2 linked regions of the Arabidopsis thaliana genome follow. The protein of the gene in region 2 interacts with the protein of the main gene of each other region in a pairwise test. Each region holds a gene or a part of one and is shown on either strand. Other genes may lie near its edges.

Region 1 (5,114 bases), about 18 Mb from region 2:
CGCAGTTACCGACGCGAGACGGCGTTACCGGCGAGCCACAGTGTCGGATTTTGTGAAGATGATTTGGTTTCAAACGACGTCAGTTTGAAGATTCCGACGTTTTTTTTTTTTTTATACAGCCGCGTTGTAGTATTACAATTGGTATTGATTTGGTTGAAGTGATTTTTGTAGCTTATACCATTTTTTTAAAAAATTATAATTTTCATCATTAATAAAGTTTAATCACATCTCGAGTTTTCAATGATATACTGCGATCGTGTGAGTCGTTGATCCTACTTTAAGTTAAAGAATTTTCAATTATTATATCTTTACTAAGGTAAATCGGTTTGAATTATACATATTAGATATTTAGATTAATGAAATATGAGTAGAAAATGAAATTTCCAATTTGTCTCAAATTAAATTTTACGTCGCTCTTTTTCTTGGCAATAAATGTTTCGTTGAATTTGTTTTTTATAAATCTGATTTATATAAAACTAAATTGAATCAGTACACATATGGGGATGTAGCTCAGATGGTAGAGCGCTCGCTTAGCATGCGAGAGGTACGGGGATCGATACCCCGCATCTCCATTATTTTTATTGTCCTCTTTATTGATTTTTTCTTTCGACAGCTACTATTTTATTTACTAGAAGAAACACGTCAGGGAAAGTCTCTGTTTTGACATATACATTATCACCTTTGTTCATCCACTATGCAAATACCATTTTGGCATTTTCCTTTTAAAAAGGAATTGTAAAATAATAATAGATAAGATAACCATTAGAAATCATGTTTAGTACAAAAAATAAAAGCCAAATTTACATCATTAACCAAATCGAAAAAATGATACAAAAATACAAGGTATCAAAATATGACAAACTCACCGGTCACCGGAGATTAGAACTCACTCACTATCCTAAATTCTTGTTTTTTCTTTTGTCTTTAGCAGCCAAGGCTCTTCATGATCTCCGTTAACTTCTCAATCACAGCCGTTGGTTCCGCTCGTGAGTTCGCCAGATGCATCGCGTGATACTCCAATCCTTTCCACTTAGCTATAAGCTCGAAATGAGGTCTCTGAAACTCGACGCTTATTATCTCAAATATCGTTGTGTTTGGTGTTGCAGAGACAATGTGAGTCAGTCCTGCTCCATGAGCTCCTATGATCACTGAAGCATCTTGAATGGCTCGGACTTGATCTTTCATTGACATGTGTGCAAGCAAGCCATTCACAAGGTTAATCCCGCATTTGGTCAGACCGGTGGACCCAGTTGCAACCCAATGATGCAACGAGTCGAACACTTCTTCCTCATTGATGAGCCGAGACTGGACTTTACCGCCATGACGAGGATGGGCTAAGTAATCTTCACGGCGGACAAAAAGAACATTATAAACTGAGGCTGATGATGATGATGATGATAGCGGCTTTTCTAATGAGCGGTGTCTATTGACAGGCAACCCGAAAGCTGCTCTGATCATTTCACCAAACTCTGATATCCTCGCAGTCCTTTTATCGTCCGGGTTTTGCCACAGATTGTGAGCTGAATCTCCCTTGCAGTCTATTTCTCCGGACAAGCCTTTAAAAAGAGCGGTTTCGTATCCCAATGGTGAAAGAATCGCGTGGCGGAAACAAACCGGTTTGGTGAAGTTCTTTGCGTATCTGATTCCGGAAAACAAAGCTGTCCATGTTTCTTCTAGCTGCGTCTGCAAAAAGATTCACAACATGGATATGAAACTCATACAAGATTCAATTTTATTCATCAAAGGAGGGAAACTAAAACCATAAACACGCAAGAAATCCAAATCCTATAACGAAGAGTAACTAACTACAAGTCTAAACTGGACTTTCCCTGCTCATATAAGGATCATGACCATGAACAAGAAGAGGAGCATACCGTGCAGTGTCCGTCAACGAAAACAACGTGAGGTCGATTAGGCAAACCGGTGACTCTAGACGAAACATAGGCACTATACCAATCTGTCACAGTATGGAAGAGATTTGCGTACTCGAATCTAGTGACAAGCAAGGTCGGTTCCTCCACCCACTGCAGCCAAACAAAAAGCAAACCAAACATCAAACCAACAAGATATAACCACCACACATAACTACATAGTCTTCCAAGAATCTCACACAACCACAACCTAATTAATATGAACAATGTAAAGCTCAAAATCAGTGATTCATTGCTGCATATGTTGAATGAAAAGTCTCCAATTATGCAATCTTTTCACCAAAACACAATCTTCAAATCCACCAGATCAATGAGTAAAATGCACAAACCTCTTCACAAACGAAATCATTGGTATCAACAGCACGAATCGAAGCAACCAAATCTCTCATTGTATGTCTATCAATTCCACCTTCTTGCATATATTCATTCAACATCTCATCATTCACCAGCCGCCGAGAAACCGCACTACCTCCTTCTCCTCCACCAAAACGACGGTGTCTCTTAAAACCTAACCGTGAAGAAACCTCTTCCGCTACCTCAAACGCACCTTGTCGAAACGCAGGAAGCTCCTCCTCCTCTTTCCTCCCCATAACTTCCTCTAACTTCTCACCTCCTCTCGACATAACAATCCGATCCGGAACCATTCTCAGATTCCTTCCTTCACAAATCGAACTCTGTAATGTCTCACTGTAAAAACATCGGAACCAGCTTCCTTCTCCTCCTCCTCCAATCCTCGGCTTAAGGAAGTCAACTCTCTTTGTAAATCCATTCCCGAAGTAACCTTCGCAGGAGCCAGTTGGTAGATTCCTCTGCGGCGGCGTCCATGGGAGGTAAGAAGGTAAGATCGGCCACGGTTTCTGAATCGCCGATTGGTTATTCACTGAAACGTGGTATATATGAGGAGGCTGTGACTGCTCCGGTGAAAACGACGATGAGTGAAAAACGAAGTAGATGATGAGAAAGAGAGAGTTGAGAAGTAACATATACAGAAAAATCTTCAGAATCTTCGGATTCCGTTTACTCATCTCTCTCTCTCGTCTCTCGTTCCCTTGATTTGCGGTTTTGAAGAGAGAGCGAGAATTTGAAACTCTTTCTATTTTTAGTTTTCCATCGATTTCTTCTCTCTCGATTCTGAAGTGAAGTCAATCGCCGGTGAAAGGTACAGAAGATTCAGGCGAGACTTCATCGGCTGTTTCGCCGGAAAATTGTTCTTCAATAAGATGAATCGGAATTTTGAGAGTCTGCAGATTTATTAAAGCTGAAGATTCCATCATTCCTCTCTGTGTATTGTTTGGCATTTTGCTTTTGACTAAAAAATTCTTATACCAATGAACCAAATACAATTAAACCGAACCGAAAATAAATTAATCACATAACCAAAATCAAATTAAACCGGGAAGTAAACCAAACGTTCCCGAAACGTTTCCATCTTTTTGTCAAACACGTTCGTTACTTTATAATTTGCATTTCTCACTTTCCTCATAATCACCGACTCAAAAACAATCTCCAATTCTTCTGTTTTCTGGTAAGCTTTGTGTTTTTTTTTTGTATCACTGTATTCTCATTCTTTAATTTATTGGTTTGAAACTTATGTTAAAGTAAGTGTTTTGTTTAGATTCATCATTCATTCATGCAAATATTTTTTTGAGAAAATTATTCTTTAGAATTGAAATTGTTTTTCGTGTTTATTTTTGGTACTTTAGTTTGTTTTGCCTCTCTGTTATGAAATTGACTGACAAAAACGTAGAGATTCTTCTCTGATTCGAAGTCATATAACTATTTTTAGTTTTTTTTTTGTTCTTATATGTTTTTCTCCCAATATCGATCTTGAAGTTAACCTTGTCGTGTAATTTTCTTGTTCTCTTTTACGATAAAATTTGGATTGTACTTTTTTCTGTGATTTTTTCAGACTATTTTTCGATATTGTTTCTTAGTAATAATGGTTTTTGGTTTATCTTTATTGATACGACTTCAAATGCATGTATTAATCTCAGAAAACGAAAAACAAAGTGGATACAGATTCTTCCTTATTTTAGAAAGATTGTTTTCTGAAGATTTTAATGAGATTTATTTTCTTCTTTTTAAATCTGCAACTTGATTTGCCAATAATCTTTTTTTTTATAAACTTTATGAACTTTATTTATGACGATGATACCAAAAAAAGAAAAAACTTCCATTTATCTAATTGGAAGTTCAAGGGGCTTCCTTTTCTTGCGCTCCAAGTTTTCTGTTATATAAACAACAACATTCTCAGAATGTAATGTTCTGTCTCTTTTGTTTGTTCGTAGGTGATCAATCACAAGGCTCCTCGAGAAGAAGAAGATCTCAAATCCGATTAAATGGATCGTTTCAGCAGAAAATGTCTTCTGTTTCTTCTATTGATCATACTTTTAGATTCTCCATTAACATGCCACAGTTGGGGATGGTTCTCTTCTTCTTCTTCCTCAGCAGAAGATCCATACTCTTCTTCTTTTTCTCGGTCTCGCAAATCCAACCCCGACTTCTCCATGGAAGTTTTCAGTGATCAGAAGGCGGTTCAAGTCCTTGAAAACAAGCTTGTTGGTCTAACCAGTTGCTGGCAAAATGCTTATAGTTACCTCTTGGCTGGCTGCAAAGAAACGATTGCTACAGAAGAAAAGAGAAAGAGATTTGCTTGGTATTTGAGCGATTGCTTCATCAAAGACTCGGGAAGACCGGCGTTTCCAACCTGTAAAGATGAATCAGTAATGATGAGTTGCCTCAAGAAGCTTGATGATCATGAGCATAAGATCTATCTCGATTTCTTGCTTGAAACCAACACCATCTGCCAACAATTACAGTAAGAAAAACAATTTACCATGAATATTTTTCTAGCTGTTATTACTTTTGTTTGCCAAAATGGATTCTCAATTTGCTTCTTTTTGGTATGGCAGGAGTAATGCGTTCAAAAATGAGATAGAGAGGCTTGTGAATGAGCTCAAGAATACAGCTCAGTATACAGAAGATAAATTGGATATCTTGGAGAGTAAATCTGATGCTTTAATACAGACCTCAAGCATGATTCATGATTCTTTAGGGTCACTAGATGTTCGGGTTCAAAACGTGGCTAGTGTGACAAACACCTTAGAAACTAGTGTGAGTGGATTATCTCAACAAACAGTAGAAATCTCTCAAGAACAGAAGAACATTGCAGAATCACAGCTA
Region 2 (7,530 bases):
ATATTATCTTATCGCAAGAAAAAGTTAGGGATTAGTCAATCAACCATTGTAACGTTTCCATTTGATCCGTCATTATTCTCTCTTATTACTATCGTTTGCTTTAAAAAGAATGTTTGGCCATAAACTTATCACGCCTAATTTGGCATATAATAACATTTAATCAATGATATCCAATTTATCTAGATTAGCTTAGCTAGTAACAGAATCATATGAATCTAGGTGTCTTTTATTTACTCGTAACTCACTCACTTAAATTATTTAATCAAAATTAACTTTGGTACGCCGACAACACAACACTAGTTCCAAAGATAGTAGACTACTAGCTTTGGTCCGTATTTTTGTGTTTCTGCAACAAAAATATAAGCACTAACGTAATTACAAAAGATCAATTTTCTTTTGGCAACAGTTACATATGACCCTATGTTATGAGAAATGACAAAGTATGTGTCTAGATTTTCGAGTTATAAAGGTTATTAAAAAATTAGTGGTAGAACAACGTTACATGAGAGTAAAGGTTATAATTTGCCATACCACCATGACTATTAGTTATACCTTTTCTCCTTTTTGGTTTCTTTCATAAAAAGAAAGATACAATATTTTTGGTGTCACTAGAGACTAATCCCCTCGTAGCTTACCTACATCAATTAACATTCGAGGATCCACTATCCAGTATCCACCACAGTTCGTTTCATGCACGATCCAATCATATAACAAATTCTGGTCACAAGTAACCTCTTAGGCTTTTTCTTTCTTCTTTTGCATTGCAAAAACGTACTTAAAAGATGAAAAATTTCCACAAGCTTCATAGATAAATTTGAAGTTAGAGAATAAGGAGTTAGGACCATATCTTTTGCACTCCAATTCAATCGAATGTGTATAACATATAGTTTATATACACACAACATAATAATCCCAGGCAAAATGGTAAAACTAATTAATATAACTTGTCTCAAAAAGAACCGGCCAAAAAAAACTAATGCCTTACAGTAGTTTTACATGGACACAGAGATGCTCCAGCTTCTACTCTCTCTTTTTGACAGTTCATGTTCCCGGCACAGCTTTTGTGAACAAGAAGAAGCCGATTCTGAGCCCAACCTCTTATAGTCAACGATCGTTTGAGGCCATACCAGCCAATAAATAGTCAACGTTCAGTCTTAAGTGTGTGTATTTCACTTGTGAGGTCGCAGTTCAAGCTTATAAGCTCGTATTTCCATGGGAGAGATCGAGACACGTCCTTCCCGTGGCTGTGAACTATCTCGAGGTAGCTCTTGGTCATCGTACCCAAGAATCTCCATATCTTCTTGCAAGAGATTCAGTGAAGTTGGTTTTACCTTTGAAGCTGCAAGATCTTTGAACATGTCGGAAAAGTTTACTGGTTCATTAGCCATGCTTGTGCAGTTTACTTGTCTTCCTTTATGGCAATAAGCTGAATCCCAAGCTCGTCTATTGAGGATAAGAGCGAACCTTGGCTTGTCTTCTTCCAATTGCTGAGAGTATTTGGATGGACGAGGAACCTTGAAATTTACAATGTGGAGGTCACATGGTAACGGTTTGGCTAAAGGAGCAAAGGAACCGTATTGTGGAACACGCACAGATATGTCTTGCGGTTTCTTGGCAATGAATGTGTTTATGGGGTAGTTTAAGTGAGCACCTATGAGGTGAGAGAGAAGCGAAGGGTTCCTCGGGTTAGTGTTGGAAGCAGGGTCTGCTTGAGAAATGTTAGATTCCGCAAGAAGGTGAAATACCACGGTCATTGCGCGGTTATCCATCACACCTTGCCCTAGACCCCGTCCGTCATCACGAACCAACCGTCTGTCCAGCATAATCTCCAACCAACCCTCTTTGAGGCTTGCAACACCGAGAGATTGACGAGAGTGCACGGAGAATCTCTGACCATTGGATCCTTGGATAAATGCGAGAGATGGCATTGGGTAGTAGTTTCCTTGAAGAGGGATCTTATCATAAGTTTCTCTCCTGCTCATTTGGAAACCATTGAGATCTGAATAGAAGACCTTCTTGTTGTCAACATCAGTCTTGTACCGGACAATCAATTCCCGGTCATCAAAATCATTACCAAGAAGCTCAACATGATATTCTATCTCGACCACTTGATCCTGAAGCGTATTACCTCCAGTGTAAAGACGAGTTTTCTGAGAGAGGGGTGATTTCTCCCATTTGGTTTTAGGGTAAGAGAAGACTTCTTGAACCAGCAGACCCTCAGAGGTGACTACATGTCCATCAGGTTGAACAATTGGCTGAGCTTCACCATCTGGTTTGAACAGGTAAGCTCCACTCTCTGGACTAGAGTACATACCTATCTCTTCTCCCACAACAGTCTCTGATCCGTTTCTATGGACTATCTTCCGCAGTGATCCGTTCTTCACATCAAACACAAGAGTCTGATGTTCATTTCGGATCTCAGTAACGTCGTTGTCCAGTTTGGAGCAGGAATATGGAGGAGGACAAGGAAATGGGTCAAACTCAGAAGCGTATTTGAGTTTAGACGGAGTAGCTTTCTCACACTCGACATTCCCATTAGCAATGAAATATGTTCTCAGACCAAGAGCTGGGATGGAAGCTTTCCAGTAAAGGCGATGTCTGCCGGTGAATAGTTTGGTATCGTCATGCTGCACTTCAGGAGAAATTTGGCTAGGGACACAAGTCCAGTTTGAGTCCAAAACCGAGATTTCAGCGCGGTTAACAACAACCGTCACCACCTCCTCTCTCGTCTGTTCTGATGGATTGAAGAGTATAACTGTGTGCGAATTTCCTTCCCGGGCAGCAATTGGCTTGTGAACTGGCCGAGCATCATACTTTGATCTCATTTGCTCTGCCTCGAAAAATGATGGGGATTGATCAGATTTTTCTTTCTCGTGGCGGATCCCAAGAAGAACTTCGATTGCTTTAGACATAAAGATCTGAAGGTCTTGCAATGAAGTATGCATCCGGGTGCCGTAATCTTGTACCACATAATCCTTAGCAGTTCCAGTTACCCCATCATGGTGCTGGAAAAGAGCCAGATTTCTTCTTGCAGCAGTCAACTTATACGTAAAACTTGTTGGAAATTTCTCACATTGAATTCGATGGCAATAACCTAGCAGAAATGACATCATGATCTCAGCTCCACGAAGGGTATGCTCGAGCACACGATCAACAGCTTTGAAGAAAGGTCTTGAAACATAATAACCACTCCAATAGTCTTGTTGCCTATCTGCATATGTAAAGAAGTCACCTGACAGAGAAGGGAAACCAACAACCTGACCAGAGCCAACCTCACCAGGACGAGAATAATTCACTCTGTCTGCTTCTTCTCGGACTGTTCTGAAATAATCCTCCAAAGTACCAAACTTTGCTTCTGCGTTTAGACTAGGATTAGAGTTGATGTGATCAAACAACATCTGGTAGTTACGGAACTGAGCCTCGGCTTCATCGATACTAATGTACCTAAAATCATCTCCAAGAGGTATAAGAAGTGTATTAGTTCGATATAGAGTGGATTTTTTCCTGTATTGATCCAGAAGCTTTAATGCCCTCTCCTGCACATTTTCTAGTGTGGTCTCCACTGGGTGCTTTCCCCATGGACAAAGTTCATACTTAAATCCCCGCATCCGAGCGAAATCAAACTGACAGCAAATTGCAGGCTCTGGTCCACAAGTGTGTGGGATATCGTATGAATAAAACGGCATCATATGAACAAAGATATCTGTGGTTTCCATAGCATCCCAGCTCTGACGCCAAATATATTCAAGATTCTTATGCTGGGCAAGGTCTTTCTTGAGCTCGTAATGAGTCCTTTGAATAAGCATGTTTTCAAAACCCATACGCCGGAGAAGATAAGCCATGGTTGATGAATAGCCAAAGGGATCTATAGCCCAAGAATTCTTAGGAATAACCCCAATTGTGTCATTCAGCCACATATTACCCTCTGCTATCTGCAGAAGAAGTGATCCAGTACAAAATCAGTATAAAAAGGAAAGAAACACAATGCAACAAGGGGCTAGTTAACTAGCATTATGACTAGCCAAATGACATTCTAACATCACACGTTCTATGCATAACCAAAAAAAGAGAGGTTTCACTTTTCAGATCAAAAGAGGTCTCAGGGGATGTCGAACTATAACCAACCATAAGTGACATAATAAATAGAAACCTAGCAGAAACAGAAACATTAAATGAAAATGCAGTAATCATCGTCATCATCTTTGTTTCAGTAAGAATTAAAATTCCTAAAAGCAAACAGGAGTAGACAAATAAAGTGCCTAGAAAAACTGGAAAGTCAAGCGTTGATGTACATACCTGTTCAATTATGGCAAAATAATGTGAATTAGCCTGCAGGGAACATTAAGAAGAAAACTTTAGCACATACAATCTCAATCAAAACAATCAGCAGAAGAATGGCATGGGACTAAAAAAACAATTTATTTATTTACAACCAAACAACAAGTAAGAAACATACCTCATCATTCATAACCCAGCCACCTCCAACAATCTCTAGCTGCCCATCCTTAACCAATTTAGTCAAAGCTTCTTGTTTATTAGGTGAAGCGTCTCTCCACCATCTCTCCAGATATGACATCTCCTCCCATATAAACTTTCTTCTTGAATCCTATTAAACATATTCAAAACAAACCCCCACACAAATAAGATTCTAGCTATCCTTCAATCTCAAAACCCAGTAATAAAAAAACAAACTTTAGCTCCAAAGACTTCAAATTTTCCAAAAGAACGAACTTCTAGAACTCTGTTTCATCACGAAACTAAAAAAAAACAGAACCCAGCAAAGAAGTTTGGTTATAGAGTTTAATGACGTCATGAGAATTTTAAGACATTTAAGATTGTTCACGGGATAACCATGGGAGAGAATTAAAATATTAAAACCAAAAGCAAAAACTTTCGTCATACCTTAGATAAAGTCTCAACAATGGTGTCAAGAATATGTCTGGATTGTCTCTGATAATACTCCTCTACAGTCAATTTCCAACCAGGATCGTTATGAGAATGAGGAACAACGAAGATTTTGAGCTTCTCTTTCTCCCACTCATCGTCTTTATACGTAACTCTCCAACCTTGTTTCCATGGACCACCATCTGTATCAAGAAACTCAATCCTATCGTATAGATCTTTAGTTGTGATATCAACGACGGCGCCTGAATTGGAATCGTTTAAGGGTCGGCGATTAATATTCTTCCGTGGCTTGACGATCCGATTGGATCTGGAGGTAAGGAATCGTGAGGAGATCGGTCCTGGTACGCCGAAGTGGAAGAGAGTGAGGAGGAAGAAGAGGAGTGAGACGGTGAGTGCGATGACGAAGAAGTTGGCGAAGATGAAATTGACTACGAGAGTTCGTTTTCGTGGTTTTCGATTGATCGCTAGTTTTGACTTTGATAACGCTGTTGGAAGAAGAGATTGGCCCCAACCGCCGGTTCCTCCGCCGGTGGAGCTACGGCGGCTGTTGCCGATATACGAGGAGAACGGCATATTCTCCTCCTCGGAATTTCCTTTTTCTTTTCTATCTAACGAATTAAACCTACGTCGTTTCGAGTTGTCTTCTTTTTTCTTTCTTACTTGTGTTCTGCTCTGAGATTTATGTAAGCGGATGATGGTCTTTTAGATTCGATGGACTTTTCTTCCGAATCCTGTTTGGTTTTTTGTTTTTTTAAGGGAAAGTAAATGCCAGTGGGTGTTATGGTCTTTTCGACATACGCTACTTTTTTTTAAGGCCCAAGTTGGTGAGTAACTTTTTTTGGGGTCGGTTACTGTTGTGGAGTAAGTCTAGTATCTTTACTGGTTTAGATTATTATTAGATAACCCTAAGGTCAGTTTTATAATTATAATTATTATTATATTTAAGAGTTTAATATTTGTATGGTATCATTAGAAAATAGGAAAATTATTAATCATCAAATCTTTGAAAGACTAATGATAAAATTTATTATCTTATAGTATAACTAAATTTTGACTTTTTGTTTCAAAATATTTATAAATGCAGATTTCTACGTTAAAGGTCTAAAAAAACAATTTCTGCAAAAGTCCTAGCTAGATGATCACGTTTTACATACAACTAAAACATCATTAGAACATGTGTATTGCATTGTAGGTCGGTATTGCACGGTATTATTTTATTAGTTTAGTTATGAGAAAACACTTACAATAAAGTTTGTAATTTTGTGATAAATGTAAACTAAAGTATCACTTTTCTATGTTTAGTCAGGAAATTGTTTTGCAAAAATACTCTCCAATATCATGCAAAACATAAGTGATTTCTAAAGCTATATTTTCCTAACAATATTCTCCATGCCGTTGTCTCTTGTCTCATTTGTTCCTTTCATTTGATCGGATCTCAACTACAAGAACATATTAAACTAACTTCCAACACACTGATCGAAAGAGTTTTTGACATTTTTGTTACGTTTTGACGGAATACTACAGTTTTCCACATGTGGATCGCTTGCATAAGACAAAGTTTTGATGGCTTTCACTCGTTCAAAACTATGTGAGACTGAATTATCAGCCAAAAAATCATCAACGTTTACACAAACATAAAATTTAGCATGAGGAACGGGTTTTCCATGTTTCGACAACATGACTTATTGAAAGATAATAGGCAAAATGTTTCCACCATAAAGGGTGGTGCAAGAAAACTTATATTGCTCTTACGGTGAAACCCTAGAACGGCTCAATAAAAGATCTTACCATTTTAACTATTTGAGTTTCTCTTTCGAGGAATAAGAGCCAAATATCCTATCTAAACTTCGGGAACACGATATATTATTTAGAAAGATAAAGCATTTACATAAAACGGTTAAATTTTATACGAAAGTCCTACATGTACACTAATAAAGGGTTGAAAGTCTAAACATTTTTAATGCATATTAACCATTGAAGTTTAAACCGCTGATCAATAACGATGAATTTGATACGTCATGTTAATGAGAAACTTTTCCGCTTCATTGCTTTACTTGCTAAAATCTTTATTCTGAGGAAATATATCAATCTCGTGTTCATATGAATAAATGTGTGACTCATATCATAAAATCCTTTTTAAGTATAAATAAAAAGCGCGTTCTATAGACACACGTAATATTTTTTTTTGAACAATGAATGATGGAAATATCAAATAAGTAACAAAAAGCTCAAGGTATAAAGACACATAAGTTTTTTTTCCAAAAAACTAATGATAGAAATAAGTAACAAAAACGTGAGCTACAGAGACACGTTATATTTTTTTTTGAAAAACTAATGATAGAAAGTATTATCAACATGTAAAAAGAAACCTTATCGAATGGATATCATAAAAAGGACAATAACAACCAAATCTTTTTGCTATAAAATTATGATTACATGATTATTAACATGTTTAAAACCTCTAATTACATAAATATATACACTAAATATTTACAAATTAATTTAAAAGTAATACCTATTAAAGAAAAGTAAAAAATCAAAAAGCAAAGTGTAAAATTAGACAATAACATTTAACCCCGGGAAAACAAGTGATAGTATTTCCTAATTTGAAAAGACCCCGCCTAT

Evidence for each region.
Region 1: the proteins of GMII (region 2) and XYLT come close enough for resonance energy transfer, tested with the Arabidopsis thaliana proteins (one study listed by BioGRID).

The regions. Positions count from the first base shown.
Region 1 is NC_003076.8:22,480,228-22,485,341, reverse strand, and holds XYLT (beta-1,2-xylosyltransferase), read right to left. Parts: upstream 3,218-5,114; 5' UTR 2,957-3,217; coding exon 2,261-2,956; intron 2,025-2,260; coding exon 1,875-2,024; intron 1,684-1,874; coding exon 925-1,683; 3' UTR 711-924; downstream 1-710. Other genes in the region: AT5G55507 (hydroxyproline-rich glycoprotein family protein), read left to right, coding at 1-56; GEX1 (gamete expressed protein 1), read left to right, coding at 4,271-4,749, 4,844-5,114. UniProt on the Arabidopsis thaliana protein: Glycosyltransferase involved in the xylosylation of N-glycans. Possesses beta-1,2-xylosyltransferase activity, transferring xylose from UDP-xylose to the core beta-linked mannose of N-glycans. Involved in the biosynthesis of glycoprotein bound N-glycans.
Region 2 is NC_003076.8:4,836,315-4,843,844, forward strand, and holds GMII (golgi alpha-mannosidase II), read right to left. Parts: upstream 5,754-7,530; 5' UTR 5,479-5,753; coding exon 4,903-5,478; intron 4,607-4,902; coding exon 4,457-4,606; intron 4,330-4,456; coding exon 4,297-4,329; intron 3,933-4,296; coding exon 1,170-3,932; 3' UTR 757-1,169; downstream 1-756. UniProt on the Arabidopsis thaliana protein: Catalyzes the first committed step in the biosynthesis of complex N-glycans. It controls conversion of high mannose to complex N-glycans; the final hydrolytic step in the N-glycan maturation pathway.